2 linked regions of the Solanum lycopersicum genome follow. The main gene of each other region encodes a partner of the protein of the gene in region 2 in a complex. Links are inferred from orthologs where the notes say so. Each region holds a gene or a part of one and is shown on either strand. Other genes may lie near its edges. The genes, in order: mitotic spindle checkpoint protein MAD2 and mitotic spindle checkpoint protein BUBR1.

Region 1 (16,543 bases), on a different chromosome or scaffold from region 2:
TGAAACTCAAAGTAAATACTGAAATAAATGATAAGATTGTCCTCGGAATATGAAAATTCACCTACTAGCAATTGCAACATTGATTGGATCTGCGCTAACCGCGGGCATAATTTTGAGTGCCTGAACTTATATTCTAACACAATGAGGAAGAATTATGTGGTCAGTATTTTGAATGTAGCGAGCATGAAAAATATACATAATAAACATGACATTTGAACACACTGAATTTGTAAAATATGCTGATGCAACGACTAAATAAAATAACATGAAGTTGATATATATTTGTTGACACCAAATTTTGACCATTCCCGATAGGAGTTAGTTAACGAGCTTCTTAATTCTAAATTACTTGAAATAATTAAGTTTTATAAAAAAAGAAAATAGTTTTCAAATTATTTTTATTTGATCTTAGCGCTTTTTCATAATATATATATATATATATATAGTTTACGTAATTACGTATATAATTAGTATATTTTATAAAATATTCAAAAATCGTCTCAAGGAGACTTTTAGTTTTTAGTCTTACTTTGGTTAAAATAAATTTCGGGGAATTTAATAGTTTATATTTTTGAGTGTTTAGTTTTTGCTTGAGTTAATTATTTTGTCTTGTTGGTGAGTTCAATTTATCTAAATTTTAGCCGAATTTGTTAATCAACTCAATTCGATTCTATTCTGCCATTTTGTTTTACCAAATTCAATGTAAATGTTCAATGTTACAGAACATTCCAATCCAAAATTTTCCAGAAACTCCCACTTGACAATTCAGCATAAGCAGATGATCCGACCCAAGACCTCTTCCCTCATCACCAGCGGGAATCCAGAAAACGGCAAGAGAAGGCGTCAATCGCTTGCGACAAGAGCAGCACGCGTACACGCATCAGAAAGGGATATGACGATAGACGCAATTTGGTATATTCTCTTGTTCAAGCTAGGAATTTGAAATTGTTGGGTTTTAGTTCTTATCCGGTTTATCAACATTTTGACCCCGACCCTAAAAAATCCCAAGGAGGGGATGGAAGGCGGAAAACAAGCGTCTGAGAGAAGAACTTGGGGGTTTTCTTTAATAGAGATAGATTTCAAAATAAGTGAGGGTATTTAGGCCCCACTTTCTTCTTTTGAGACATTCTAGCTGCTCGGCGGAGCTCTCAAAAGTTTGTGTGTGCTGTTGGAAGGAACCCGCTGCCTCCTCTTGCTCGTTTGCTGCCCCGGAAGAGGTATGTCGTCTTCCTATCTTTTCGTTTATCTCTAAATGACTGAAAAGTTTTTTTAGTTTCGTTGAGGGTTACTATTAAGTTGGTGTTGTTTCAATGTGATAAATATATTCATCAAGTCGATTTCGAAAGCTATTTATCTGAGATGTTGTTTTTTGTTATTTTCTCCGTTTCGTTGCGTTAAAATAAAGTAATGCCTTCTCTTCTATCTAAAAGATAATGTTATTGAATGCCGGAAGAGTTATTATAGGATCGTCGCTCCTCTGCTATTTGTTAAAAAAAGAAGAAGAAGAAGAAGATTGGATAGTTTTTGGATTGCTATACATCTTAGAGTGGTGGTTCCTTTCGTTTCTTGGTTTTGATTTTGTGGTGATTTCTCTTTTCTCGTATATTATCGGCTTTAAGACTAAAAGCTTTATTACTTCTTATGTCGTTATATTTTCCTGCTGTTAATATTGTTCACACTTGGGAATAAGGTAAAAGCATTGGAAGCGGATTAATACGGGAACTACATGTCATGTTATCTATTATTTGTTTGATGCAACTACTTGTTTTCCAAGTTTATGGTGTTACGGCCTATCTAGTTCTACGCTCTTGGTGTTAAGTGTTGCTGACACATATTTGCCTCTATATGTGATATGCTTTGCTCCTTAATATGTCTATAAATGTTTTATTTTGCTACTTCGTTTATTTTGTTAAGCCCTGTTTGTTTGGATTGTAATTGATCTTTCTTTAGGAAGTTCTAAGAAGCATGATGTTACTTGTCTCTTCTTCATTTGGTTACTTATAACCCTTTATCTTAGGCCCCCTCCCCTAATGCCATGTAATTTTACCCAAGTACAAAATCCTCTCAAGAAGCTCACTGCGAAAGTTTTGATATTCCATTTGTTGTTATTTGCTCTAAGTAAGTTTTATTATTCCATTTGTTGTTATTTGCTTCTAGTGCCCACTGCCTTTTGATGTATAGTTATATCTTTGTAAAAGGCATCTCTCATGCTTCAAGTATTTGATTCTTATTGCAATAAAACTCTAGTTAAAATTTATTTCGTCTCCATTTATAGTTATATCTTTGTGAAAGACATCTCTCATGCTTCAAGTGTTTGATTCTTATTGCAATTAAACGCTAGTTAAAATTTGTTTCGTCTCCTTAGATGTCAAGATTCAGTCGGCTTGCATCTTTGTGGCAGAAAACATATTTGTGACTTGTGGTCCTAGGTAGATTTCATGTGAATCTAGCTTCCAATTTCAGTTTCGGTTCAGCAGCGTGCTCGTTATTTCCGGATCTTATTTAGTGCAGACATATTAGACCCATTAACATAGTATGTTTAGGTCACATTGTGTGGGTAGTTTATTAAGTGTCCTTATAATATATCTTTGTGTTCATCTCTGTAACTTTTATGGTCCAAGTATATTTGTATCTAACTACAATTGAGTTTCAAGTTTTCTAGGTGTTAAGCTTCTTGTTTCTCGTTAGAAAATGTGGGATCCCCAAGTTTTTGTATGGTCTGTAAAGTTTTCTCCTCGTTTTCACTGTCAAGACGTGGTAATTTTCAATGCGAAGTTTGAACTTCTTTGGTCGGTTCAATTAATATATCTTCGGCTTGATGTTAGATTAAAATATCCTTTGAGGTCATTTGGAAAGAGGAGAATTGCTTATTGATGTTTGTTTTATCATTTTGGGATCGACAGTAATTTATTAAAATTGTACGTTTGGTGTGTCGTTACTTCCCCTTTATTTCTAACCCTTTTTTTTTTTTTACTTTTTTTGAGTTTCTTGTCCTGAAGGTGTCGTAATACTACAATTTTTTTTAATCTTGTTTTTTTCTTAAAGAATTGCTATGAATATTGCTTATGCGTTTGTATTTTTTTGCATGTGAAATCTACCTCTGACTCCATTCCTCTTGCATTTAAGGTTCAACTTCCTTTATCGAGTTTGCCGGCTAGAAAGTTCAAAGAAAAAAATCCGAAATCGGTGAATAGGTCCTAAGTCGCAAAAATTCTAAACAGGCCAAGAAGTCGGAGATTTGAAAAAGTGGCATGAACTTAGTGTATTTAATTATTTTTGCGCCTAAACCCTTTGTACATTATTATCTTAGTAGTTTAGGACATGTACAAATCAAATAGGCCCAAAGCCTAAAGCAAAAACAAATGGGTCCAAATATCGGTCCAGGCGAACAAAAGTTGGCTTTGGACCCGACCCTATCTCCCTCTCTCTTTTTTTCTCTCTCACTTTACTACTTGTTTATTAATTGTTGTTAGTTTTAGGATTGACGAATCCAAATCCTTGCAAAACGCCGCTTCGGTTTTAACAACTTAACCAATCGAATAAAATAACTTTGAAATAAATTTTTACAAGTTAATTGGTCACAGTAGTGCTTCACTTTTCAAACAATTCTAAAGTATTTTTCGTTACCTCAAAAATCAAATTAGTTATTTGTTTGGCCAAATGAATTAGTTGTTGGATAACTGCAAGTAAGCGAACGTCTTAGATGCTTTCAAAATCTTCCTAATAAGAATTCCCGAACTCCTTTAAAGTTTTCAAAATGATTTTTCTGTTTATTTCTTTTGAAAATATAGTTTTCTTGATTTTTCTCAAAAAATAAAGTGGTGACTTTAAAAAGTTGAAAATCTGAAAAAATAAATAATTTTTCTTTTTTCAAATAAAACAATATTGATTTGAAAAATATAAGTACAAAGTCATGCAATAACTGGAAAAAAATTTATCAAAAAAATTTATCTGAAGTATGCAAATACTAAAATCAACATAAATCATATGAGCCACTACATGAAGTTCAATATATTGTCAAACTAAAAAGTTGGTGTAATATTTGTCAAGATACGGGACCTGAGTGAGCTAAAGTGGGTTCACTAAGCTAGTGTCTATCTTAGACAGCTCTAAATGACCTTTTAAAATAAATTTAAATATTTCACATATTTTTTGATGAAAAAATTATTTATCTTTAAAAGGTTAATAAACTTTATATAAACTCGAATGCAAACTCATTTATTCAAAATTAAACTATTGTGAGATGTACCTAGATATATATTTTCGTATTTCTTATCAATTTAATTCAAAAAAAATACTATAAAATTTATAAATCGTAGAGATTTAATGTTATAGTCATCCTAATTAAATGTTAATACCAAATTATAAATTAGCAAATGATTAAAGGTCTTTTCTTATAGGGAAAATTAAAAACGATGCATATCATGTTTAATAAAATTACATTGAAAAATTGAACCAATAATAACTAATTGATGAATGCAAATTATATATATTTACTTTGATATTATTAATTTAAAATTTTATTAAATTTGTTTGTTTTTATATTTTAACTTTTAACGAAAACTGACTGAAACCAAATCATAAATATCCTTAAAGAAAAAACAATTGTGCTGATAATAAATATTTCAGAAATAAAACTAAAAAAATAACATCAAAGATTTATTTCTTCTTCTTCTTCTTCTTATTGTTATTATTTCATCCACTTCCCAAAATAATACAGAGATGTAATGACTATCAAAAATGGAAGACTTTAGCCATCCAAGGATCCGTGGCGCAATGGTAGCGCGTCTGACTCCAGATCAGAAGGTTGCGTGTTCGATTCACGTCGGGTTCAAATTTCCCGATTCATGAGGATCCAAATTTTTTTATTACTTTCTTATTTTATTAGACTAAAAACACTATAATTTATGTGCAATCCGTTAACTTCGACAAAAAGATCATGACATTAATTGATTATTTATTTTTAACGGCATGATAACTTTGTATGTAAGAATAAAAAAGGCACACTGATCTTCTTCCCCCGTTACCTCTCTTTTTTAGAGAATGTTGAAGGCAAATTTCAAAAGTCAAAAAAAGTATTTATTTTCTCCGTTCAAGAAATTGCCTGCGTAGTTGGGGGAGACGGAAGAAAGAAAAAAACCAAAATTTCAACATAATTTGAGTTGCGTATAAATCCAAGCCGACGCAAACAACATTATTATGTGCTATGGCAATGTGTAGACAACAAGGACGTGTAAAAAAGTACCCAAATATATTTCACAAGGCAAAAAACATGTTCACACGGAGAAATTGATCTAATTGTTCAATTTCCTTCAATACTCATTCAGGATACAAACTAATAGATGTTTCAAGGTTTACACAATCTAACATACAAAATGTGAATCAATGATTCACAATGACAACAAAAGTAAGGTACAACAAGGATCCATGGTCTAGGACTCATCCCATTCATCATCATTCTTATATGAAACCAATGTGTCAACCTTATGAATCTGCATAGAGAAAACAAAACTCGAGTTAGGGTCACCGAAATATCCAGGGGATTCGTATCAGAATCAAGCAGCAAATTGCTCCTACCTTAGTGTCAAAAGAGTGCAGTTTCACCATTTGTGGATTCGCAATCAGTTTAGGGTCACTCTCAATCCAAGTGAATGGAACTGCAACATCCATATCAGTGTATGCTAACACATCAAACACACCTACAGCCATACACACAAATGAAACAAGAAATCTCATCAAGAAACATCCCAAAAAAGCAACATTGCCATTGTATCGTAACATCCAAGCACAAATGATGCTTACATGGTTCCTCAAGGCACGGCAAATAAGTGATGCTGGACGCTATTTGCCTCATAATCGCTTGAATTTCCCTCATTATTTCTTTATCACTTTTCTCTCTTGAAACACTGGAAAATCAAATAAACCATTTAGCTAATTATTTAACAAACAATCCAACATACGAAGACATCAAAAGCAAGCCAGGGTTGAGTATTTGGCTCTGGACTATTTAAGCACACGAACGAAATTATAGGTCTTCTGCCATAATAACTCCAACATACACTTCTTTCAATCCACAATTATTAACCAAAGATGATTAACATCTTACCCTTTCTGGACAACCTCACTATCAGTTTCGATACTGAAATTCCACCTTTCTAATACCTCACCAGAGGCCTTACTCATGATGACAAGAACCACCCTTTGTAGCTTTCCAGTTTCCAACCACTCTACATGAACAAAATCGTTAAGAAAACAATCATTTCACTACCTAATATATGATCTGAACCAATCTACAGCCTCGTCAAAATTCTACAACTTACCAGCAAGTTGGGCAGTCAAGTTGGAAACAAAGGTCTTGACACCTTCATCTTCAGTAAGCAACATTGTGAGACCATATTTCTTCACTTTCTTAAAACTTTCTTCAGGATATACTCCTCTGTTGTACAAAATGCTAAATACATAATCCCCGCACAAATTCAAAAAAAAAAAATCAGCATTCAGACAAAACCATAAACAACGAACATAAAAGGAATTAATCAATCAACAATGGCCGATGGCCAACGTAAAACTAATTGGAATCAGTCAGATAAATCAATTCATCCGCTCTATTGTAGCCCATTTTAGTCCAATGCAGGTAAATAAACGAAGAACACAAAGCATTTTATTCAATCAATCGGAAAATCAACAACGTATCGATTGATGAAATCTATTCAATCCAATTTCATTACTAATCTGCTCAAACCCAATTTCATTGGGCTGAATTTCAGGTTGATAATTAATTTTCAAAGCAAATTTAGGGGTTTTGTGAAATCTATCTAAATCTGAGATCCGATCACTATGTGAACAACGTGCAAGTCTACATAACCAAAATTTGATATGAAAAAAACAGGAATTCCGAGTTGTTACCTGTTTGCAGCATAGCCAAAATATTCACTGACGATTGCGGCGGAACCACGAAGTGTGATTATGTCTTTGGAGGCTGTTCTTGACGCCATTTTCAGATTAGGAAATAGAAGTAGAAAAATGGTTATGGAGATTGATTGCTTGTGAGAGAATCAGAGATGAATTTAGGGTTTTTATGAGAATTGAGAAACATAGTGGAAGAAGCAACGGCTAGTTTTTGGAAATGACACAAAACAACGGTCAGATGGGTTTAGTGCAAAAATTGGGCCACACTGAAAATTTATAACTTATATAAGTATAGTTTATATAATTATATCTTATGAGTATAATTTAGTTTGCTATGGAGCATTTAATTTGCATATTAAGTTTTTTTTGTTTATAATTTATAAGGAAAATACATAAGTATCCCCAGACTATAACTGAAATTCTAGAGACACACCTTAACTAAATTAACTTCCTATTATCCCTGAACTTTTTTTTTTGTAATTTTGAGCACTTTTTGTCTTATATAATTATATTTTACGAGTATAATTTAGTTTGCTATGGAGCATTTAATTTGCATATTAAGTTTTTTTTGTTTATAATTTATGAGGAAAATGCATAAGTATCCCCAGACTATAACTGGAATTCTAGAGACACACCTTAATTAAATTAACTTCCTATTACCCCTGAACTTTTTTTTTTGTAATTTTGAGCACTTTTTGTCTTATGTGGCACACTTCGTGGCTCCACGCGATTGAGACACGTACGAGATATTTGAATGTCACGTAAGCTAAAAAGGTGCACAAAGTTACAAAAAATAAGTGTAAGGGGAGGGGGTGGAGGTAATAGGACCTTATTTAGTTAAGGTGTTTCTCTGTGATTTCAGACATAGTATAGGAGGGTACTTGTGCAATTTTTCATAATTTATGTAATATTCTACTTAATAAATGGATACATGAACGGTAATAAGGTAACAAAATACTTGCATAATCCCATGATTCAAGTTAATCTTTCAAATCAAATATTTTTTCAAAAAGAGTTCTATAACAATACAAACATCATAACAATTGTTATCCTCGTACCACAAAAGCAAATATAAAATGAAAAATTCATGGTTCGTCAATATTCTTGTATATTTTTCTTTTAAGAAAACTTCATGTTTTAAAGTGTGAAAAAGAATAAGATTGATTTGCATAGTATATAATTGAAATTTTTAAAATTGCAAGTAGTTATATTTGGTCATAAAAATATAAACAAATTGTATATTAACAATTCTATTCTAATTGTTGGTTAAAAAAATCGAGTAATGTTATATGTATGAGTTGTATATGTATACCACTGCATGTGGGGGGCGTATTTTCGTGGTTATTTGCAAATGAAAATAAATCCCTATGAAAACGATAAAAAGTATATGTCAATATGTAAATCGAATATTTATACAATTAATTAATATTTTCAATTATATACGTTACACATATAAACTATTTGTATAAATAAGAACTATTTATGGTTGTATATAACTATAAACTCTATATGTATATGGTTGTATATAACTATAAACTCTATATGTATATAATTATGTGTACATTAATATAGTACTTAAATATACAGAAATATACATATTATACCTCAAATATTTTTTTGTATATAACTATCAAAATATAAACTCTATATGTATAGGATTATATGTATATAAATATAGTACTTATATATATATATATATATATATATATATATATATAAATATACGTATACCTCAAAAAAATTGTATATAACTACCAAAATATACAAATCGCTATATACAAATTTATTTTATACAATTACCTGATATTCTTTAGATTTGTTAATACATAAAAAAATTTACATATACCTCAAGCAATTTTGTATGTAACCATCAAAATATACAAATTGCTACATACAAAATTATTTTATGCAATCAAGAAGATCTGATGAAGATGTTCGCGATTGATTACTATTAGAATTATTAGATATCTTGATTGATTAAAATTGTGTTTTAAGACACTACCTCCTGATCCTGATGTTCTTCGAATCTGTCAATTTCAGATTCACTCTCCTGTGAATCACTGGTTATTGCTTTCCTCTTTGTTCCTCCTTTGACAATTTTAATGCCGCTAGCTATGACGTTGTTAATAACTTTTTGAACTACCATTGAGTCATTTTTTTTCTTGGATCTCAATTCTTCCATTGATTGCTCATCTTGAACTTATATGGATAGACCCCAAAATCTTGAGTTAAATTCATTAAAAACGAGAGTAATTTGTCAACAAAATTGACATGCAATGACATACATTTGGTAGTCCTCATAAATGAAGATGATTCATCTATTCTGATTTTGAAGAATTTATAATCTAATGAGAAAGAACGATTATTTTAACAAAAAAAATAAAAAAAATTAAGAAGCACAATATATATACAATTGTTGAAGAAGGAAAAAATAAAATAAAAATTGATTCACGGCTAAATTTTGGCGGTTACCTGTGAAAGATGAAATCAATACCGTAGCGAGTAGGTGAAATTTTTGCCGATTTGAATTTCAAAATCGGAGTGAATGAGTGATTATAGGAGAAAGAGGTGGAGTAGAAATAGGAGAGATAAAATTGATTTGTATAAATTTATATACAAAATCAAAAAAGATTTTTTACGGTTAGTATAAAAAAAGGTGATGGGTCTCATTAATTATGGCAAAAAAATAAAAAAATTATAATTATAGAAAGTAAATAAATTAAACTTTCCCTTATTATATAATTACTTAGGGATGTTTGTCATCCCATACAATCTTCCCCTATATTATTATAGGAATAAGTTTTTATTTCATAAACGAGTACGACCTAAAATGTTCCTCAACTATCTGAATTGATATAAATTTCCCACTGAGATGGGCTTAGTTGGGCCACAATTGGGTCCAACTGTAATGGGTGATTTGTTATTATAAAAAAAATAATTTTTTCATAAACGAGTACAATCTAAAATTTTTCTTAACTATTTGAATTGATATAAAATTTTCTACTAAAATGAGCTTAGTGCAAAAGTTTGGGCAACAACTGGGTCGGGTGATTTGTTATTATATTATTATAGAAAAAAAAATCATAAAGGATTACGACCTAAAATGTTTCTCAAACTATTTGAATTGATATTAAATTTCCCACTACTTAGTGCAAAAATTGGGCCGCAATCGGGTCCAATTGTAATTGGTGATTTGTTATTATTATTATTAGGGAAAATTATATAAAATAAAAAAATTATTAGTTTAAATTAAATGTTATAGTCATAGTTTATTTTATTTGTAATTCGTAGCAAACATCTCATTTTTTTGCCATCGGGTTCAGTATATAATTATCTGTTTTTGGTATACAACTATTCATTCGGTATACAAATGTATGAAATGTGTTTTGTTTGTATAAAATAAGAGAAAAGTATATATATAGTTACACAAATATATATATTTTTGTCTTATACACTTATACTTGTACAAATACATATCTTCCATTGTCCAGTTCTCTTTTGTCTTTCTCTCTTTCTGGATTTATAAATATACTAATTACACTGTATAATTTGTGTCAAATAAAAAGCGAGAGAGAGATTTGCATATTGATTTCACGTATACACTTATCCAAAGAACACGTACATATACAAATTACAGGAAACATTTTATATACAAATTATCCAATTGTATAAATGAGTTTATACAAAACTGGACAAATTAATATATAAATTGGAAGTGTCTAGCGAATTGTACAAATCAAAGGATGCATAACAAATATAAAATTTGTTATGAAGCGCAATTATGTTAACTATAGGTATAACATACAATATACGTAAAAATTGATCTTATTATTATAGGAAAAGTACTTTTTCATAAATGAGTATGACCTAAAATGTTCCTCAACTATTTGAATTGATATAAAATTGTCATCCGTTCAACCTTTTGAGACAAAAGATTGGCATTAAGGGTATTCGGGGGCCAAAAGGTGGAAGGAGACTAGTTTTGTACCAATTTGAATAGATGAGGATATTTTAAGTCATTTTCCGTTTAATAAATAATTACTGATTTTAGAGATACTTTTTATTTATTACCAATTATAACAATGCTATGATAATTGTTGCATGTATTCAAAGTGAATTCTGCATGCAAATATAAATGTGCTATAAGTATTTGAAATATATAATACCTGTTTGGCAAGAAATTGAAATAATGTATTATAAGGGTTAAAGAATGACAAAAGTCTCACATCGGTGGTTAATGAGATGAGTGGACTCCTTATAAGGTTTGGGCAATCCTGCTCCCTTTGAGCTAGCTTTTGGGGTGTGAGTTACTCACCCGATGTTGGGACCCCCAAAATCAAAATTGTCCACGCACCAGATGCTAAGCATTGGGCGTGAGATGGGATGTTACAGAATGACAAAAGTCTCATATCGGTGGTTAACGAGATGAGTGGACTCCTTATTAAGGCTTAGGCAATCCTCCTCCCTTTGAGCTAACTTTTAGGGTGTGAGTTAGGTCTAAGACCTAATTTTACAATGTGATAAATGATAAATGAATAAAACTTGTATTATATGTGTTTTATAAATTATTCAATATAAAATATCTTAAATTTATATTATAAATATCCAGTAAAAAAGATATTATTGCTTAAGTTGATAAATATTTTCTTAATATATCATGTGAAATGTCAAACGACAGGCCATAAGCTTTACTTTTCATTTTTTAGCCCATTTTTATAGTTACCTAAAATGATCATTCAACAATAGCGATATTTTTGGTTGTTGTCTTTCCTCTGTTCTTCTTTCCTTCTTTTTCTGCTGATTGTCCTTCTTCCTCCTCCTCTTCCTTTAAAATTTAATATACCATAAATATAAATTCTTTCGAACAAATCATATATCAAAAGATTTAAAATATTGAGATAATTTCATATCTAAAACTTGAGATTGTTTAGAGGAGATTTTGAACTGATCGAAATTGAATAATCAGTGTACATTTTACGTATATTCAATGCATACTTCGTGTACATTTAAATTATATTTAATTTTTTGAGTGTATCATAACGTATAGTCAGTGTATAACTCATGTATAGATAAGCTATATTCAATTTTTTGAATGTATCATAATGTATAGTCAATGTTAATTTTGAATATTATGAGATTCATTTAATTATTTTAAATTACAATTTTATAAAAAATAAAGTTCAATTATCAATATGAATTTTTTAATTGAACCTTTTATTTTATTGTTTCTTTTCAAAGCTATTATGTTGGCCCTTAATTGAAATTTGGTGTGGTAAAATCAAAATAAGTAATAAAACGTGTCAAGGCATGCATAATTTTAAATTTTTTTTTATCATATTATTCTTAAGAGTCACGAAGAAAATGTATCATTCAGATTCAGAGAGAGCAAAACTACCCTAGCGTAAATTGGTTCATTTTTCGTTATTTTGGAATAAAGTCGAAAAGAAAGATATTTTTGGTTCATTTGAATAGTTAGAGGATATTTTTAAACTAAAAATCATAATATTGAGGATACTTTCGATCGGAAAACGTAACGATAGGTAAATTTATTTTGACTTGTATAGTTTAGGAGTATTTCTCTTTTTTTTTTTTTTTTATCATTTTTCCTTTAATTTATAATAGATTGAGTTGTATAAATAATAGCATATGAATAAATATTCGATAATATTCTAAGCCTATAACAAGACCTACAAATTGGGCTCTTCCTATTTTTAGCTAAAAGGCACCAACTATATTGAAAAAAAGGGCATATAATAACAAACTAATAACGTAAAATAAATAGAGTAGTTAGGGATTGATTTAATTGTGCTCCATAGCAAACGCCTCTCTCCCAAATATCTCACTCGCCACTCTCCTCTAATCTCTCGCTCGCTTTCTCACTTTTTATACAAACACAAGTGTATAAAAGTTGTTTCTAATTGTATAAAGCAGAGAAAATTGTATAAATACATATATTTTTAATCCCCTCTCTCCACTCTTCCAGATTTCGCTCGCCACCCTCGTCTTTCTCACTTATACAAACAGAAGCGAAATGTATAAATTGCGTTTCTGTTTGTATAAAGCGTGAGAAAATTGTATATACACATGCAAGTACATATATTTTCGTCCTAATACACTTATAATTATACAATAAGAATACTCCCCTGCCAAGTTTTTTTTGCCTTTCTCTCTTTCTCGTTCTATACAATTTTCAAATTGTATCTAATTTCTCTCTTTCTCGTTTTATACAATTCGATTCAATTGTATATTCCTTGTCAAGTCTCTTTTGTCTTTCTCTCTTTCTCATTTTATACAAATTCAAATTGTATATAATCGTTCTATACACTTATAATAATACAATTCATTTTATACACTTCGTTTTTATACAGTTTTCTGCTCAAGTGTCTTTCTCTTTCTTGTTTTATACACTTCGTTTTATGCAATTTGCTTCAATTGTATATGTATTTTTATGTTTGCTGTGGAGCGCAATTATGCAAACTTTGTTATAACGTACAAATATGAATTTTTTATTTGCTATATGTGAAAGTTGGCCAATTATATTTCAATTTTAGGTTATACTTGGGCTTTTCCTATTTCTAGCTTAATTAAACTCATTATATGAGGTTTGGTAATGACTTGTTCAATCGTTATCAAAGGGCACTTCGTTGTGAGCATAGACGGACCTATTTATAAAGTTGAGGGTGTACGAGAGGAAACTAGCATAAATTGATATATAATTAACAACGCATTCATAAGAAACATAAGAGTGTCTTGTGCCGTATTTTGGAATTTGAAATTTTGTTTGGGCTGACGTTACCCGCTATAAATTTTACTTTCTCCATTTACTTTTACTTATTCTCATTTTTACTTGTCGCTTTTAACTTATGAAGAAAAAACATTTTCCCATATTTTATCCTTACTATTAATTGTTTATTTTTCAAATCATTCTTTCAAGATTTAACACCAAATATTAATTAATAAAAATAGTATAGTAAAATAATCATTTCAATTATTATTTTTTAATAAATATAATAAATAGAAGTGAACAGACAGAGTCCATTAGGTGGTGGTCCTCTAAGAAAAAATAGATTTCCTACTCATTCTGTCATAAATTAAATTGTGTATCTCTTTTTTGGTCTATGTCATTTGTGGTATTCATCTTCTCCTTTGAAATATACTCTTTTGTCCATCAATAGTGGTCTATTATTATTATTTTAACGCTTTTAAGAAATTATAAATAAAAAGGTAATTTTATTATATTATTTTTTAAATATAATAAATATAATATTTTAAAAATTATAATAGAAAAATGATTATAATTAAAGATAAAGATAAATTTGAATGAAAATATAATTGAGAAATGATTATAATTAAAGACAATTAAATTTGAATGAAGTAGGAGTGTAAAATTATCTTTTGATTTTATGAAGTGAACAATATTGTTGGACATCCCAAAATAGAATAATGAACTATTGTTGCACGGAGGGAGTACTTTAAAGAAAATGTTGACACAATGTGCTCATTTGTTTCCTCATTTTACTAACTTATTGATACTACAAACAAAACAACTTTTAGTGGCAGCATATATATACACACACATAACACATTCATAAAGAGTAGAGTGTTAAACTCTTTATTGGTATTAGTTAAATGTTTGTATTCAATATTGCTATAGATGTTAGGGACATTTACAAAGAGTACAACATGCTTTGGGGCACTTTTAACATTTCCAACGTTTAACAAATAAAATAATAAAGAATTTATTATTCTATAATTGGTGTGATTCTATGTATCTGGAATGGCAGATACATGGGAGAGTAGCGAGCGATATGGGAGAGATGCGAGCGAGATTTTGTTATGTATCACAGATACATGTGAATCCATTTGGATAGAATCTACTCCATCTGAATCAAATTACACGTAATTTTGATCACATACATCCGAAATACATAATATCAAGATATATAATTTATAGACACCAAAATCCGACAAGATATGTAATACAACAAATTAGAGTATATCTAAATAGTTAATTCATAAACTAGTGATATTTATGTAAGTTTCGTTTAAAATAGGTCGAGTTGGATGGATAACCACCTATGTTACCTATATGGTGAACCCTAAGTCTATCTATTGTGAATACCTTTCCATCACCTACCATTTGTTGGCCTCATTGGTGTTGAAGGAAGCCACCTAAAAGGACATAAGATCAAGAAGATTCAAAGTGGCGGCATTGGGTAGGGTTAACTAAAAGGAAAACTATAGCCAAAAAAGTTTTTGATGAGTTGGCTAGTAGTTTCCACAAATTAAAGTAGAAATATAGTGAAATTTCTTTTGAAATGATAAGTTGTTCATGAATCTCTCTTTTTCTAATGCGTGCATATTGAACTCAATTTGACAACATGCATATGAGTGATAGTGTCAATGGTTGAAGTCAGAATTTTCATTAAATTTTTTTGAAAAAGTAGATACATTATCAAATAAAATTTGATTTCTATTCTCTCTATATACAAATTATTTTAATCATAAATAGATAACATAATTTTTTATTGATTCACAAGGTGGCTGGCGTATAATCATAGTGCCACTTGTTAATTATAATAAGGAAAACAAAAACAAGTTTGTTGATCATTCAAATGTTTTTTTTTTCTTAGAAGTAAAGATGATTTTAAATTTCTCTTTATCAAAATTGCACCTTCTTATCTCAATTGACGATATGAAGAATTTTTATATGTATGATATGAAATTAATGATTTTATTATGTATAAAATGTAAAAATATATACAAATTTGAGAGAGTATTATCACTATTACCAAATTGATACTAATTAGAAAAATCATCTTGATAATACAAAAGATTCTACACCTAGAGTAAATTATAAACGACATATGAATATGTAAGTCTACTATTTTTAACACTACACATAGAGATCAATTTGTATTTAAAAAAAAGTATATCTTGTCTATTAGGAGATGAGGTGTAGCTCATATCAATCATTTTTTTAAAATAAATATATTAAATTTAAATATAATAAGTTAAAAGTAAACGAAGAAAGTATAAATCAGAGGTGAATAAAAGTAGCTTATATGACAGTAAAATTTGGTATAGTCCATAAAAGGGACTATGGAAGAAAAAATAGATTGTATACCTTTTTGGGTGTGTGTCATTTGTAGTAATTAATGTCGACACAATGTCCTCATTTTACTAACATTCTTGTTCAATTTTCCAAATTTTAAAAATTAAATTAAACATATAAAAATAATTGTAGATTAGATTTGATTCTTTTGGGTTTTTATTTACAATTCGCAAGTATTAAAATTGTTGAGGGCAATAAACATATGGATAGATACAACCACCTAATACATGAACAATTCATACAAAAGTTAATGTGGATTCAATTAAGTAATACTAGAGTTATTATTACATGAACAAAATGATTCGATCAAAAGAAAGCGTGACTATGTGATGTAAGGTAGAGAAGATAAAGATAAAATTATAATTCTGAAAAGAAAATGAATTAATTTTTTTTCGTTATTAAATAAATGATGACGTGGCCGAATCATAATTGGCCACGCCATCAATTTTTCAAATAAAAAATCAAAATTCTGAAAAAAAATGATTTTTTTTATTTTTTTACTAAAAAAATTAATGACGT
Region 2 (16,751 bases):
GCTCAAACAACGGAAAATAATAGAAACAGATCACTGTCTGCAACCTTGTGGTTTAATCCACCATCAAAGTTTCAACATAGTTTAAAGATGCTGAATGTTATACCAAATTAATATCCATCTACACATGATTTCATAGCAGCAACGAGGATGAAATGGTGGCCGCTCCTAACTACCACTATGGGACAAAATAAACATTGAGAAATGGAAAAGACAACCGAATCTCGGTTGGAACTATTAAAAAGTTGCATAGATATTATATAGCTCATAAGTCATTAACTAATAACAGTGAACTTCATCCTTCAGATGTCAAAGCAAGACACATACAAGAGAATCTCTGATAAAAAACTAAAGAACTCAAAAGGAACCATGATCCACCTATGGGAAAAGATTTGATCACAACGAGTCACATCACAACTCCCAAGGGATGGGGGTTGAGCTTCATCCTCGATCTTGAAGCTTTGCATCTTTTGCTCATCATGAAGGACAGGAACAACAAAATCCGACTAGTCTTTTTTCCCTCCTTTATTGGAACCAGAAGCCCGTGGTTTCTGCTTCCCTGACTTTCTTCTGGAACTGACCAGGTTTGGCTGGGTAGAATGAGCAGGCATGTGATGCCCAGGAACCAAAGCAGGGAACCCAACAGCAGGGATTCTGCAAATTCATATTGCATCTATTAATGTAGGCATTTGAGAGAAAATATCTATCCAACATAACCATGGCAAGATGGAAAAATGTCAAGACATTCACATCTATTTCTTGCTTCAAACGCCAACTAAAGCAAAGTCCAGAAAATTGTAGCAGAGCAAAAAGTGGTATAAAGAAAGTATTTTAGCCACAGATGACAAGAATGTTTCTTATGCACTTACCCAAAAAGAGCACGGCAGACTCCTGCTTGGTCATAGAAACACCATTAGCACTGCTATTATGCAAAGAAAAGCGTAAAGCTTGATTTTCAGCAAGACAGCACTGGAGAACAAACCCCAGCCTTTTGCATTCTGATTCAAAGTATCTACTCTTCAACTCAAGATCCCTAACGTACAACTTCTTCCTCTCTCGTGACCTCACAGCTGCATCTCTATTCCTCAATTGCCTGGAGAACAAAAATTAAGTTTGTGACTGAGATTTTCTTTAAGCTGCTATATACATACAGATTAGATAAGTACAATCCTCTCACCATTTTGAAATAGAAGAGGAGAGGGGTGTATTAAACTACTCTAGATAAATGCACAAGATGTTATGCAATTTTAAGCATGATAAATGCGCACATTACATAATAATATATCCATCACACATTAAATAAGTGCAATCTTTCAAGGACATGGCTTCTTATTCTAAGAAGTCTAGAAGTAGTTTGCTATTCAGGAAAGTTTCCCACTTGGGGGTGTGTTCATGATTGCAAACTAATGGAAAAGTTGCAGCATCATGTGCTTTGATAAAATCTGTATGTCTTCGGAAAAGAGAATCATATTTTTGTTTCATAATCAATAGAGAATGAACATTATGTTCTAACACGTCACAAATCAAATCATGAAATGAATGGCTCATACAGTCAATGTGTGATGTCAAATTAAGGCAATCTTATAGAAAGGAACTCCTTGGAAATACTGATTCGCGATTTGGCTGAGAAGGCACTATGTGGATATGGTTTTTGCATACACAGGAACTGCAAAGATTTTTCTGGTCATTGATAATTTACATGAAGCAAATTTAATAAACATGAGTTACACTAACTAAGATATCAAAACTAGGATTTGTTTCTGCTAGTAGGTCAACCATTTTCAAAGAAGAGATACAACACGAGAAGTAAAAGAAGCCACAGTAGTGTAAATCGTGTGTGCAGAAGAGTTATAAGCAAAGAGAAGTACTAGAATTATAAACAAATTGAATAAATAAACTAAGAGAAGTACTAGAATTATAAACAAATTGAATAAATAAACTAAGAGAAGTGCTAGAATTATAAACAAATTGAATAAATAAACTAGAAAGAAAAAAGGGGCAAAACTCTAGAGAGATACCTCTTGCGCTTCTTATCGACGGGGTCATGGTTGTTTAGTTCGTCGTCGCCGTCAGAAGGCGACTGGGAAACCTTGTGTTTGTCCTGATCGGCACTTGAAACCTTGGGATCGGAGAATCCAATGGCTTGTTCAGCAGGAGAGTGAGAATGATCGGAGTGAAGAGGAGAATCGACGAGGAAGTCAGAAAGAGATTCGGCAGCAAACTGAGGATCAGAGACAAGACCGAAATCGTCATCGTTCATAAGAAGCTGCTCGATCTGCTGGAATGACTGTGGGGAGGAATCATGAAGAGTGAATTGATCATCGTCGGGATTGTCTAGAACGTTGTGGAAGATGTGATCTACATCGTCCCAGTTGATGATATCATCGATGTTATCGATCATCGCCAGTTCGACGGAGATTGTGGGGTGAAGAAACTAGGGTCCGACTCACTATTTTGGGACCCGATCTCTGGATGTCCCCAATTTAATAATCACGTTAGGTGTCTTAGAGGTTAAGGCTCCAAACACTTTCAACGAAATTCCAAGTTTTTAATTACTTCGTCACCCACCCAATAAGAATTCCACTTCGCTACAACTCACCTCACTAATTACTACATCCCTTTTCCCATTAAAAGAAAACAATACCTTTTTTTCTTTTTCTTTTTTTTTAAAAAAAAAAAATAAAAGGTAAAAGAAAACCACACCTCCCTCCTTTTCTATATATATAAAAATATTAATATAAATTTTAAAAACATGCCACATTTTCGTTTCTATAAAAAAAAATGATAAATAAATAGTATTTTCTTCGATTTCTTTTTTATATGTCACATTTTTATTTTAAATTTACATTAAGAAATGATATAATTTTACCCTTTTATTTTATTTAATTTTTAGAATTTAAGTTTTCAATCAATGAATACGAATTAATTTATTTTGATTAATTAATTTAATGAATGAAAACATGAATTATTTATTTAATTTTTCTAAGTTGATGAAATATATATTTTCAAGGCTATAAACAAGGTGCACTAATTTTATGAAATGATAAGTATGGAACAACTATTTATAAAAAAGAATAATATATAAAAGAAACCGAGGAAGTATTAACAACTTAGGAGAATCTTGATTTTCTTTCGAGAAAAAGAAATCATTCCTTAAAACTAACAAGTACTATTTAAGATTCTTAAATTATACACAGTTCTTCCGTGGTTCAGTTAATATTTGCCTTGATATAAAAAAGAATTTTATTTTTTTAAAAAAAAGGAGTGTCTGATTAAATGACAAGGTTTTAAAGGCAGGATTTTGAAGTCCATAGCTCAAGTAGTAAATAACTCTTTCGATACCAGGAAATAATTCACGGTGTACACACCCTTTAAAATTGTTGGATGGGGATTATTAACAACAAAATTAATCATCATAAACAAAATAAGAAAACCAATGTGAAGCAGAACTCTTTAACCAAGAGCTAATTACGAGAAAGCGCAATTGTATACTACATCAATAACTGTTGCAATCATATAAAATCATTCCATCTAAATAACAAAATACTGGAGGATTTGGCTCAAGCCTGCCAAAACCAAACATACAACAATGTCTCCTCAACTCCACTCGATATATTTAGAACATCTGTAACGGTGCTTGCACTGGGCAAAGAGGAATTGTCTCCATACACTTTTAAGATACAAGTTGAGTAACTCTGAGATGAGAAACCCCAGCACACAATGATGACTTTCTTCTGTGAGATCGATCATCTTGGTAATGAGCTTGGTGGAAAATAACGCAGGGGATTCTCCCTCAGCAACTCAGTCTCCCTGCATACAAGTGCATTGTCAAAAAGGTGCTTTCTTTTTATTGAAGTGAAGAAACAAACTTGATACTTACTTTTTTATGTCTTTGTCATCTCCTCGTCTAAGCTGCAGACTAGAAGCCTTTACACCAGCAGCAGAGTCCTTCTCCTGTGCTCTGCCAAAGATGAAGGGGGGCAACAAAGAAAGTCAATCCACAAACTAACACTATTACAATAGCTGAAAATCTCCTTGTCTTGATGCATGTACACACACTGTTAAGTGTTAACTATGTGTTGTTCGCACTCAAAAAACCATTGTATCTATATGGGTACTCACTTGGCACATTCCTCATCCACAAAGATCTCTAGGCACGGAGTGGTGGTAGTAGTAGCTCCTCGATTTCTAAGCCCGTGTCTTTGAGGAATCTGTAAGAAATATTTTTGTTAATGAGTTTTCTTGTTCCTATCTGTTTGGACAAAAAATCAAATATTCTATTTTGAACTCTCTGGACTCAAACGGACCTTATTAGATGTCCACTTTGAAGGGATTGCCTGATTCTCCTTGTTCCTATCTGCTCGGGCACCAAGACAGTGCCATGATGTATTCTCTAGCTTTGGTATTTCTGATTGAAGAGTTGATGACATTCCGGCATTTGCATCTTTGTAAATGGAAAATAGGCTCCCCTGAGCTCTGCAAAATAGATAAAAATGAGCCAGTGTTTCTACTAGAACTGGGCATGCAAAAAGGTAAGTATTTCCTGCAACCTTGTTATCAGCATCCTTACACTCCTTTTCCTTCAAGTTATGGAATAGGCAGCAATAACAACAAAAAGTTCTTTTCCACATTGCAAAGGATTTAAGGTATTTAAAACAAGAACTCATCAGAATCAGATCTCTTGCCTGACATAGCAGCTTAACTATGTGATGATAAGAACAAGTAATAACGACATAGATTTGTTTAACTCATGGTGTTACTATGAAAAATGCAGGGACACAAGAACGTAACTTGGGAGAAAACAATAGTGACTCACACTTACCTATCTGGTTTCATTTTCTTCCGGGACAATTCAGAAGTTCCTGTTGTTTGGTTTCCTGCAAAGGCAAAAACAATGTTAACCAAAGCAAGCAGACACCCTGAAGCTACGACATAGAAATGCACTTACGAGCTTCCCCCCTAGCCAACAGTGTGCCAAAGCTTCTCATTGGAAGCTGGTGTTCTGTTATCTCCTCCTGAAATACAAATCGTCACAAATTCAAATCAAAGCAAACGACAATGGACTTAAGTCGTCACAATAATTGATACCTCTGCTGCTTTGGGGCGACCCATTGAACGACTGAAAAACTTCTTGTAGGATACTTTCAATTTCTCTTCAGGTTCTGCATTCCTGATTCATAGGAGACGGAAATTTTAATCATAAACCAGCTGAGGGAGTCAGTAAATAGGCTTATAAGTGGATGAGAACAAGCAGGAGGAAGGTTACTTGGTGTAATCAGTGTTCTGTACTTGTATTAACTGTATCTCTAATGGAAAAGACTCATTAGTGGCTAAGAAAGCTTGAAAAAAGAGCATCCACAATCTTGTTGAGGCAGCCCAAGGGGTCGTTTAGTTGTTGGTTAGATTATTCATATATTAAAATCTGCATAAACTAGTACCATTTTTGGCAGCATTTTAGTTGCTATGTATAAAACTCAGCACATCAAGTATGGTTTTTTGCTTACGGTTTACAATCTCACATAACTAAAACATGTACTAGTTAGGCGTCAATCTATGTATTATTTTATGCAGCTTTGAAGATGGTATAACTAATACATGAATTAGTAATACGTAAATAATTGAACCCTACATAACTAATACCTGCACAACTCTATCCAACAACCAAACTACCCCCAAAGGTATTTAGGTGTCAGGTAATATCTAAAACCAATTGAGCATCCACAATAATATCATGCCAAATATATTAGAATTTTCACCTTGCTGTAGCATTATTCTGCCAGCAAGTTTGGCCAGCATCATAGCATTCACATCCCCATCAGAAGTTAAAACAAGTAGAGAGAGAATATAAAAGGTCCCTCAAGAATGAGGCAAATGTGAACAAGAAATAAATATTTCAATATATTCTTATGTCAACAGTTGATAGCTAGAGCATTTTATTAGAAACACATACAGAGACTTGCTGTTTTGAAGGCATGAAATGCTCTTAGTAGAAAATCATGCTATACAAGTTACAAACAACATGATTAGGTTGTGTAATTAAGCAAAGTTCAATGAACAGTGGCACTGGCTATTTTGCATGCTGCCATACCTGAAATATCTATATTAGCTAAATAAATGATTAATTCCAGAGCACAAATTTCTCAATGATAACGTCTCTGTTGTTCATCCTGTACAAATGCTTAACATAATTGTGTGACATGGTACTATCTGATTCAATTGATGCCTATAAAGGAACCAATCATTTCATAATTCAAAAAGATACATGTAGTTCTTCATAATCATATTACTCGGCTTATACAAAATTTCCTTAATAAGGATATCAAATATGTTCATCATATGGCAATTAATAATTATAAAGTTTTCTAGAAGCATACCACTGTCATACGATCACGGCCTTTAGTTTATTATTCGGTCACATGAGCATATATTGAAAGAACATAAAATAAGGGACCGTAAGCAATGTAATCTACCACAGTTCTGACCTCTGAGCTTATCAAATGAAATTGTCTTAGTATTCAAGGTATGAAAATTAGTAGGTCAATATGAAGGGGACACCACATACTTATCCGTGCAGCTTCATACTTAACACTGAACTCATTTTGGCGAAGCTTCAAACATAAATCCCCTCCCCCCCCCCCCCCCAGCCCCCACACATTACTCAATACTAGCATACAATTAATGCAACTTTCGTAGACATCATTAGACTTGACATATCAAACGCTATTTGAACAAAAATATCAGACAGCAATTCAATAAACCATTTGAATGATGCATCTCACATCATAGACAACATATAGCATAACTTCTCTGGAACCAAGACGTGTTCACTTGCCTAGTGTGAAGTGAAACACAATGTTAACTATGCAAGAACCTAACTTTACGGCTAAAATTAAACCAAGGCTCAATGGAAACACAACTTACATAGATAGCCCCCGATTGAAGATCTCGTTTGCTGTTTTAATTTTATTTTGAGATTCCATGTGCAAAGCATAGGCTATGTAGAATGAAGAATGTGTCAGTCCAATTTTGTTAGCCTCCAGAAAGCTATAAATGACTTCAGCATCCATACAATTTTCAGCCTGCAAAGAGCCATCAATAAGAAAACTGATTTACCAAATTGCATGATGAGAAGATTTAGGGGCAAAAGAATGGATGTGGAGAAATCAAACTCACATATTCCAGCCACACTTTCAAGTAACGGAGGTCATTCTTATATAGTTCATCGTGCCAAAAGGTGCGGACACATTGTTCATAAATAACTATAAGTCCAGAACTGTCCCCACCGGGAGGGAAAGCCTCTTGCACCCACTTGATGCACCTTCACAATTTTAATGTAAAATTATGTCAGCAGTTTATTCAATAACAGAGATTGACTCATTAAATGCTAGTAGAAGATATAAGAGTTGAAAAATTATTTGCATCTGAAAAGAAGAGCACTCACTGGAGCCATGGGTGAAGAGGATCTTCACCTTTGTACTTGTCAATTGCTTCAATAAATTCCCTAATCAGAAAGAGTTGAATTCAAAAATTAATAAGGGATGCAGCAACTGCTACTATTCTACAACTAGCGTGTACATCTTAATCAAAATCTAGTGCGGGATGGAATAGTAATTGCATTTTGGACCAACCTCAGGAGTAAATGTCATGAAAATGCAAAGAAGAAGAAATAGAGGAACCTTCGTTTGTCAAGAAGAGATTTCTTGAGTTGATAATCGGTACTAGACTTAAGAGCATTATTGAGAAGATTAACGTTGCGTCCTCTCTTCAAAGGTCTGACATTTTCCTTGAAGAGTTCCCACTCGTGACCAGTCTCTTGCTTCGACGCTAAGAACTCTGCCTCCTTATCCAATACGTAATCTCCTCCTACCTTCTCCATTTCTTCTTCTTGCTGCTTCCTTGTGGTGGTGTTTTTTTGAGAGCCTTCTTTCAAATTTGAAATTGTTTTGTGCCCTAAACCCTTCCTTTCATAGCCGTTGGACCCTCCTTTAAATTCCAGATTTTCGCAATATTATTGGTCCCACCATGATTGAATATAAGATAAGTAATGTTTTTTAACGAGTGCGCTACTACAAACAACAAAGTGGGCCAAGTACATCGAATTTAGACCGTTGGAATTTACCCGGAAATTAATAATATGACCTATTAGTAAAATATTTAATTCAATTTAATTCAAATTTAGAGATTTAGTTTATGTGACAATGAAATCTTATTTGCAATCAATCTGATATTCACATAATATTTAACAATTTTCATCAATAAGAAGATATTTTTAATCTAATAGTTTGACGGGAATGATAGTTTTGAGCCGAAATATAGTTTAAGGATAAATATGAGCTATTTCGAATAGTTTAAGGGTATTTTTTACCCCTTTTCCATTTATTCTATGTGGCAGTAGAACCAAATTGACATGGAATGTGACATCCACATGACATTTAACAAATTCCGTTAATAAGAAATATATTTTTGACCCAATAGTATTATGGGAAGGATAGTTTTGAACTGAAATATAGTTTAAACGTAAATATGAGTTATTTCAGATAGTTTATGAATATTTATGAGTCTTTTTCGTTAAAATAATAATTAATCAATATTATTTATTGACTAGTGGTTAATTATAAAAATAATACAAATTTATAATTTCAAACATTTATTTTTTAAAAAATACAAAGATTAAGTTATTAAAAATACATTAGAGATGGCAATGCGGTGGTGTAGGGTGGGGTGTTGCGGGTTGAGCTTAACCCGCAAAAATTTTAATCTGCCGCGCCTCGCCGCGCCCTGCATGACAACTCTTTTCATTTTCAACCTGCCTCCCATAATTTTTTTAATATTTTCTTTTTCTAATTATATTTGATACTAAGATAAAATTCATAAAAATAAATTTATCTTTTCATTAAGTTGTATTAATTTAATAGGATAGTAATTTAAAATTTAGGCCAAATACAGAAGCAGATCCCTAAACTTGTTAGGTTTTTTTCCTCAGGTACCTTAACTACGTCATTTTCCTATTGAATAATTGAACTCCCATAATTTGTTCTGTTTAATCAAACACTGTTGTCTGATGTGAAATCAGATTTGTGAGGGGTATTGATAGAGGATACATATGTTGTTCCACAAATAATTAGTCCAATTGAAAGTGAAAATGTTTGAGAATAATTATGTTTTACTTGAGTCATTTGAACACATTAGAAAACAAATGAGACTAACACAGTTAGTCTTCATTCCTTCAATCAAAATTATTACAATTCGAACACAATTGAAGACATTTACAATAGAAAAGCTGATCAAAATCAACCAACAGTGTTTTAAAGAAACAAATTATGGGTGGTTGAATGATTCAATTGAAAAATGACGTAGTTGAGGTACATGAGGGGAAAAACCCAACAAGTTTAGGGATTTGTTTATGTAGTTGGCCTAAAAATTATTTTTAAGAGGTCAACTGGGAAATTGGTAAGAAATTTTATTATTTTTATTAAACCATTTTTATTTATTATTTTAAATATTTTAGTAGCTTAAAAGAAATTATCTTAATAAATAATGTTCTATCACTCTTATAACATGTAAAAACTAAAAATAAGTTTGAATTCACATAAAATTACATATACTTGCAACCCGTCCCACTCCACATTAATTTTTAAAAAGCCTACTTCAATCAGCTCCACATCTAACCGCACCACACAACCTTAAAACCATAAACATAGCCATAAACATACCCCTCGGCACACACATCCAATCCCATTGCCATCTCTATAACACACGTGTATAAATAACAATTTGCTCATTTTGTAAGATTATATAAAAATTAATTAATTTTTTAGAACATGTAAAAGAATTGATTTGAAATAGATGCACGTTTTTGTAAAAACTAAAAACTAAAAAAATCAAAGCAAAATTTGATAAAACTGAAAGTCCACCCAGGAGAGGAGAGGAGAAGAGAAAAAGGCAAAGGTGGAAGAACTGTTCCCATGGGCCCCAAGCTGAAGATGGAACCTTATCTCCAAACCGAGAAATACCAGACGATGTCGTTTTATGTTAGTTGAGCAGTACTAAATGATGCCCTGATTGTGATAGAGATATGAGATTATATTGTTCGTTATAATTTCACAAGAAATCTGTACATTTTTTTTTCCACCAGAAATCAACAGACATCCGAAAAAAGTCATCTATAATAAATAATTGTGATGGCTTTGAACTTGAAGCAGGCATCTATATTCCCAATTCATGTTGCTAGTGTAACTGGATCCAGGAGGAAAGGAGTGCAAAAGGTGATGATGATGATGAGTGGATCAGCAGGAGTACCAAAGTATAAGGGGACGCAGATGAGAGAAAAACAGCTGACGGAAATGATAGAGAAGAAAGTGAAGGAAGCTAAGGAGGTATGCAGTGAAGACGCCAGATCGGACGAGTGCAAGGTGGCATGGGATGAGGTGGAAGAAGTTAGCTAGGCTAAGGTGCATTTGCGCATCAAGCTTCAGCTTAATCAAGATCCCCTTGAACCTTACTGTCAAAATAACCCTGACGCCGACGAGTGCCGCACCTATGACCATTAATTAATTAATTATTAGGATTTCACTCTTGTTGTACTTGGACTTGTCTACTGTATTTCTCTCCAATTTAGAATGATTACAGTTAATTACTAGTACAAAACCCTCCATCTGCTTTTCAGGTTTGTTATATTAGTTATATCTTCACTGCTTTATGAAGCATTAGTTAGGTAAGTTCAAATGTCATGTCCATATATATACAGACGAATAAAACAAGTAGATATTGAGCGACGTTAAATTCAAGCTTCTCATTATAAAGCTCTGGACATTAGTCATAGTAAGATACAAAAATCAATTGAAGCAAACTTGTTTTCAAGCATATCACTTGTTAAGGGTATATGGGTCCAGTTGATGAGTATTGGATGGTTTTATTTGAGATTCAGGCCTAGTAGTTATCGTTAGAGATTAGAATAACTTGTGTTCAACGATAAATATATGGAATGGAGTTTGTTTCCTCACATCACATAGGGGCATATATTATCACCCCCACCAAGGCTGATATTGTATCCACCCGGAGAAAGGCAAACAAATGTGCAAGTTTTTTTGTTAAATGAAAGTCACATACGTGAGACGATTTGATTGTTTGAAAAGTTCTCGGCATTCAATTATAATTTCTTTTAAAGGTAATTTACTACTATCACATTTTTCAACTTAAAACGAAAATGAGTAGGAGTCGTATATTTTAAAATTTTGGACTTCAATAACCTTATTTAAAAACTATTTGAATCTCTTGTAATTGCGTTTGATTGGTTGAATCTCTTGTAATTGCGCTAGAAGAAGAGATTACTTTTGGGTTTTGAGGCTGGAAAGGAACCACGTCATGACTTTTGTTGCAAAGTAGTGAATCTGAAGAAGAAATGGGCAAAGGAGATTGTACAAGTGGTCATGAGTCATGACACTGCTTCAGCTTCCCCATCTATCGTCCTCCGTCCCTAAAGACCAAAGGTTGTATCGCAATGCAAGTGCACTCGATCCCTTTTCGCGTCACAAGGCTTCATGGCAAGAGGTGTGTTTTTGCTTCTTCTGATTGCCATCAAATACCACTTAACTTAACTAATCAATTCTATTCAGCTTGCCGGCGTTCTGGTATTCTCAGCGATTCCTTTCACCGCTGTCAAAGCTATCGCCAACAGTACCTTCGGTGAAACACTCCGTAAACGATTAGAAGAGAGAAAGAAGGTTGCAGTAGAGAATTCAGCTAAGTTCAAAGCACTTGCACTAATGGCAAGAAACGATAGGTAAATCCCTATCTCTTGGTAAGCCATTCTCCTCTGTAATGCATCCATCTATTTTCCACCACTGTGAAAATGTTCCTATATTATACTGTTATGCATACCCACTTTTGTTTTCACTATTATCATTTGTTTGTCTTCTTTGCAGTATCTGGTATGGAGAAGATCGCCCCCGCTGGCTTGGTCCAATTTCTTATGACTATCCTGCTTATCTTAATGGGGAGCTACCCGGGGACTATGGATTTGATATCTGCGGGTTGAGCAAGGATCCCGTGGCCCTTCAAAACTACTTTAAGTATGGATTGGATTTTGCTTTTATTAACTCCTTCAAATGTTCTTTTGTTCTGAGTAGATAATGTATAGTATTTTCCCAAAAAATGCAACATCATATGCCATTAAATTATTTGTGACCTTTTATGCTTCTTCAGAACATGTATCCATTTAAAGACGAGCCTCTCACTAAAGAAATGAACAGAGCGAGGGCCTACGATAACCTACTGAGAAATAACCACGATCCTAAGGTGATTGGTCACAACTCACATGATTCCATCCTCTTTTAGTTGGAATAAAAGCAGACATGTTTCTTGAGCATAAATGTAGCCAAAAAAAGTTATAAATTGGTATTTGAGGGGAAGTAGCAAAGGGTTGCAAAATTCATATCTGGTCAGGGTTTAGGGCCACACATAGACATGAAAGTTGTTCTACTCCCAGACATTTTTGGAATGAGAGATTGAACATCTTCTAGCGTGGTTGTTCAGAGATCCCATTGTGTAATCTTTTGGGGAGCTTTTGAAATTCTCAAAATAGCAACAAACACACACTCATACAAACTATTTGTTCAGAAACCACGTAGAAGCTCTGTTAAATTCTATTCGAACTTATTTCAGTTGTCATGGTTACTCACAGTTATGAAATATTGCATGGTCGTTGGGCTATGCTGGCTGCTCTTGGTGCTTTGATTCCAGAACTTTTAAACCTGACAGGACTTTTCCAGTTTGTGGAACCTGTTTGGTGGCGAGTGGGCTACTCAAAGCTTAAGGTTGGTATCTTTCATATATGCGTTGTAACTTGACTTCCCTTGGTTGATAGATGCTGCTTCCCTTAGCTATTGATAATACGAGTCCAAAAACTCCCATGCTTGTTCTTTCCTCCAATCTCGCCTCTCCAGTTATCGACTCAGCGGAACCTTGTCTGTCGACCCAAACAACTCATGTCGAATGTGCAAGTAGGTGAGATCGGATGAGTTGATAATGCTACAAGGAAGATAAATAACTATAGTAACATACTCCAAAGTAACTTAATATCTTCCAACTATTTGTACAAAATGGATTTGTTTTATGATGAGCCAAACATCCACTAGAATTCTATTTCTTGGCAAAGTTATTATTCAACACTGCTGTGTTCTGTGTAATTCCTACCCTCCCAAGACCCCACTTGTGGGATTACACTGGGTTTGTTGTTGTTGCTTCCTTGTTCTCAGGTTTTCGAGTAAACATAATTTGGATTGATTTTACAAAAATTGTCGTTCAAAATTTCAATTTTTAAATTCTGATATAATTTTCTTATGAAATTTCATTCTTGGAATCTAGTGTTTAACATGCTATTCCTTTCAATAATTAATTTGTATCACTATCACCCACCTATTTCATATTCTTATCAGAGTGTTGTTCCACTTGATTATTGACCTCATATTGACCTTATAAATTCAGTATCCAGCGCTTATTGCAGGTATCCTTTTTTAATCTTATATATTTCTTTCATTTTTTCAAGGGAGATACACTTGACTATTTAGGGATCCCTGGACTCCATTTAGCTGGAAGTCAAGGAGTCATTGTCATAGCCATTTGCCAAGCCCTTTTGATGGTGAGTGTAAACACTTGCTCTATGTGTATCCTTCCAGTAATTATTTCTATTGAGGTTAAATTAGTCATTACACATAGCTGTTAATGTAATTAATTAGTTGTTAATTCAATTAGTTAGTTTAGCTTTTCAGGAAGTTAGTTATAGTTTTCTGTTTTGGTTAGCTTCTGTTTTTGGTGGTTATATAACCACAGCCTGCTCACATTTTCTGTTACACAACTGAATGAAAATTGTTCACACATTTTCAATGCCTCTTCTTCTTCCTCTTTAATCAAGCTTTCATCCATGGAGGTTTTGCAGCTCTCTTCAATTTGACATGGTATTAGAGCAGGAACGTTCCTGATTTTCTTACCTCTTTTCTTCTTCAATCTGCGCATCAGATCCTCTGTAAACTCGATTTTTGTTTTTCAAAATACAATGACAAATTCTGCATCTACGAGCACTGCATTAGACAGTGTTCCTTCATCTGGGATTGATGCAGGGAGTCACTTTTACATTCATCCCTCAGACAATCCTGGAGCAGTACTTGTACCAGTTCCTTTCAATGGCACTGGTTTTCATTCATGGCGTCGTAGTGTACTTCGTTCCTTGTCAGTGAAGAACAAGCTAGTGTTCATCAATGGTGAGTGTAAGAGACCAGAGGTGAATGGGTGAGATGTGATGATATGGTCACTTCATGGATTCTCAACTCTCTAGATCGAGACATTACTGATAGTGTTGAATATGTTAATGATGCTTTGGAATTATGGACAGAACTGGAGGATCGATATGATCAGACGAATGGAGCAAAATTGTATCAAACTCAGAAGGAGATAAATGACCTTAATCAAGGTATTCTCGATATCACAACATATTACACTCGTATGAAGAAACTTTGGGAGGAGTTAAACAGTCTGTGTGTTTCAAGTCAGTGTAGTTGTGTGTGTGTATGTGGAGCTAAAGCTAATGTTCAGAAGGCAGAGCAAGACAGACGTTTGATTCAATTTCTGATGGGCTTGAATGTGGTATATACTACAATTAGGGGAAGTATCTTGATGATGAATCCCTTGCCATCCTTGGCACAAGCTTTTGCCTTACTAGTGCAGGAGGAAAAACAACGAGAATTTAAACCAAATAATCAACTGTTTACTGAGAGTAGTTCTCTAGCTGCAGTTTCATCAAGTTCAGGAGGTAGAAGTTTTCAAACAAACTATTCTACCTCCAACACAACACCAAGAGGAAGACCTTTCTGTGACTATTGTAGAAGACCAGGACATGTTAGAGCAAAGTGTTACAAGTTGCATGGCTATCCATCTAATGACACAAATGGCTCTGCTCGTGATCAGCATAATCCAAGGAACACAGTTCAAAACACATATCCAAATCCAAGGCATAACAATAAAGGAAGAGGTACATCAGCAAACTCTGTAAGACTATCCTGTGATGGAGATACTAGTGGACAAACAAAGGAATCAAGTTCAACATCTTGTAATGACCCTCAAGGAAATGAGAACATCAGTATCACCAAGGAGCAATATGATCAAGTTTCTCACTTGCTGAATCAGTTTCAAAATGATGGAGTGTGTGGATCTGTGAACTTTGCAGGTGGTTTTGCTTGCTCTTTTTCTCTTGATTATATCAAACTTTCATGTGAATGTTTCAAAACAAGGACTGACCTATGGATTCTGGACTCAGGAGCCTCTCATCACATGACTTTTAACAAAAATAACCTTGTAAATCCAGTAAATCTACCTTATCCTATGTTAGTCAAATTACCAAATGGATATAGAGTCAAAATCACAGTGGTTGGTAGTGTACATCTTACACCTAAAATCATCTTGTCAGGAGTATTGTATGCCCCCTCATTCAAATACAATTTAATCTCCATCAACTCTCTTGTAAACCATCTTCAATGCACTGTCTCTTTTTCTAACACTTCTTGTCTGTTGCAGGCCCCTTCACTGAAGAGGCCTCTGGAAATTGGTAAGATGCATGATGGCCTTTATTTCCTCTGCTCAGATTGCTTACAAAAGAATTCACATGCTCAACATTATTCCTCTTCCCTTTACTCTTTATCCAGTAATAAAGTACAATGTACATCTCTTTCTTGTAACTCTCATTCAGATGAAATAAACTCTTCTCTTGTTGGTAATAAAGACAATGTTGCTAACAACTCTTTTATTTCTAGTTCCTTTCCTAATGATAGTGTGGATCTGTTGTGGCATTATAGACTTGGTCATGTACCCTTTGTGAAGATGAAAAATATATCTTCCATACCAGCAAAATTCTCATCATGACAACCTTTCTTCTGTCCTATATGTCCCATGGCAAGACAATCCAGATTACCCTTTCCACCAAAAACACACACCACTACTGGCATTTTTGAACTATTACATGTTGACATCTGGGGTCCATATCAAACAACAACTCATGATAACTTCAAGTATTTCATTACCTTAGTAGATGACTTTAGTAAATCTACCTGGACACAACTTCTAAGCTGTAAAAGCAATGCTTTCCATGTCCTTAAAGCCTTTATACTCATGGTTGAGAACCAGTTCAGCACCACTGTTAAAACCATCAGATTAGATAATGGTTTGGAATTCACTAGCAATGAAACCACTCTATTTTTTCAATCCAAAGGGATCATCCATCAGAAATCCTGCCCCTATACTCCTCAACAAAATGGTGTGGTCGAAAGAAAGCACAAATTTATTCTTGAAACAGCAAGGGCTCTACTTTTTCAGTCTAAACTCCCAGTGAAATATTGGAGTGAATGTAACTTGCTTCCACATATCTTATAAATAGACTACCTTCTTTTCCTCTCCACAATAAAACTCCATATGAAATTTTATATAAACACAAACCTATCTACTCTCACCTAAAGAGTTTTGGATGTTTATGTTATCCTACTACTCCAAAAGTTCACAGAACTAAGTTTGATCCCAAAACCATACCACATGTGTTTGTTGGATATCCTTATGCTACAAAGGGTTACAAAGTCTTGAACCTATCCACTCAGAAAATCCATGTCTCAAGGGATGTTATTTTCCATGAAACTATATTTCCTTTTGCCATGTCTAAAGACCCTACTCACTTCCCAAAATTTCCTTTCCATTGTGTGTCCCTTCATGATTAT

Evidence for each region.
Region 1: mitotic spindle checkpoint protein BUBR1 (region 2) and mitotic spindle checkpoint protein MAD2 share a complex: the UniProt entries of both Arabidopsis thaliana proteins name them as parts of the mitotic checkpoint complex. The link is inferred for Solanum lycopersicum from reciprocal best matches to the Arabidopsis thaliana genes BUBR1 and MAD2.

The regions. Positions count from the first base shown.
Region 1 is NC_090804.1:8,533,141-8,549,683, forward strand, and holds mitotic spindle checkpoint protein MAD2, read right to left. Parts: upstream 7,178-16,543; 5' UTR 6,996-7,177; coding exon 6,907-6,995; intron 6,452-6,906; coding exon 6,321-6,451; intron 6,228-6,320; coding exon 6,107-6,227; intron 5,907-6,106; coding exon 5,803-5,906; intron 5,700-5,802; coding exon 5,578-5,699; intron 5,493-5,577; coding exon 5,433-5,492; 3' UTR 5,233-5,432; downstream 1-5,232. UniProt on the Arabidopsis thaliana protein: Required for the execution of the mitotic checkpoint which monitors the process of kinetochore-spindle attachment and delays the onset of anaphase when this process is not complete.
Region 2 is NC_090803.1:68,274,214-68,290,964, forward strand, and holds mitotic spindle checkpoint protein BUBR1, read right to left. Parts: upstream 8,065-16,751; 5' UTR 7,874-8,064; coding exon 7,674-7,873; intron 7,499-7,673; coding exon 7,439-7,498; intron 7,316-7,438; coding exon 7,171-7,315; intron 7,077-7,170; coding exon 6,919-7,076; intron 5,168-6,918; coding exon 5,086-5,167; intron 5,013-5,085; coding exon 4,946-5,012; intron 4,875-4,945; coding exon 4,820-4,874; intron 4,474-4,819; coding exon 4,305-4,473; intron 4,209-4,304; coding exon 4,120-4,208; intron 3,959-4,119; coding exon 3,878-3,958; intron 3,808-3,877; coding exon 3,744-3,807; 3' UTR 3,437-3,743; downstream 1-3,436. Other genes in the region: bZIP transcription factor 60, read right to left, coding at 404-651, 867-1,090, 2,016-2,398; chlorophyll a-b binding protein 7, chloroplastic, read left to right, coding at 11,434-11,547, 11,613-11,779, 11,922-12,068, 12,680-12,812, 13,544-13,636. UniProt on the Arabidopsis thaliana protein: Essential component of the mitotic checkpoint. Required for normal mitosis progression. The mitotic checkpoint delays anaphase until all chromosomes are properly attached to the mitotic spindle.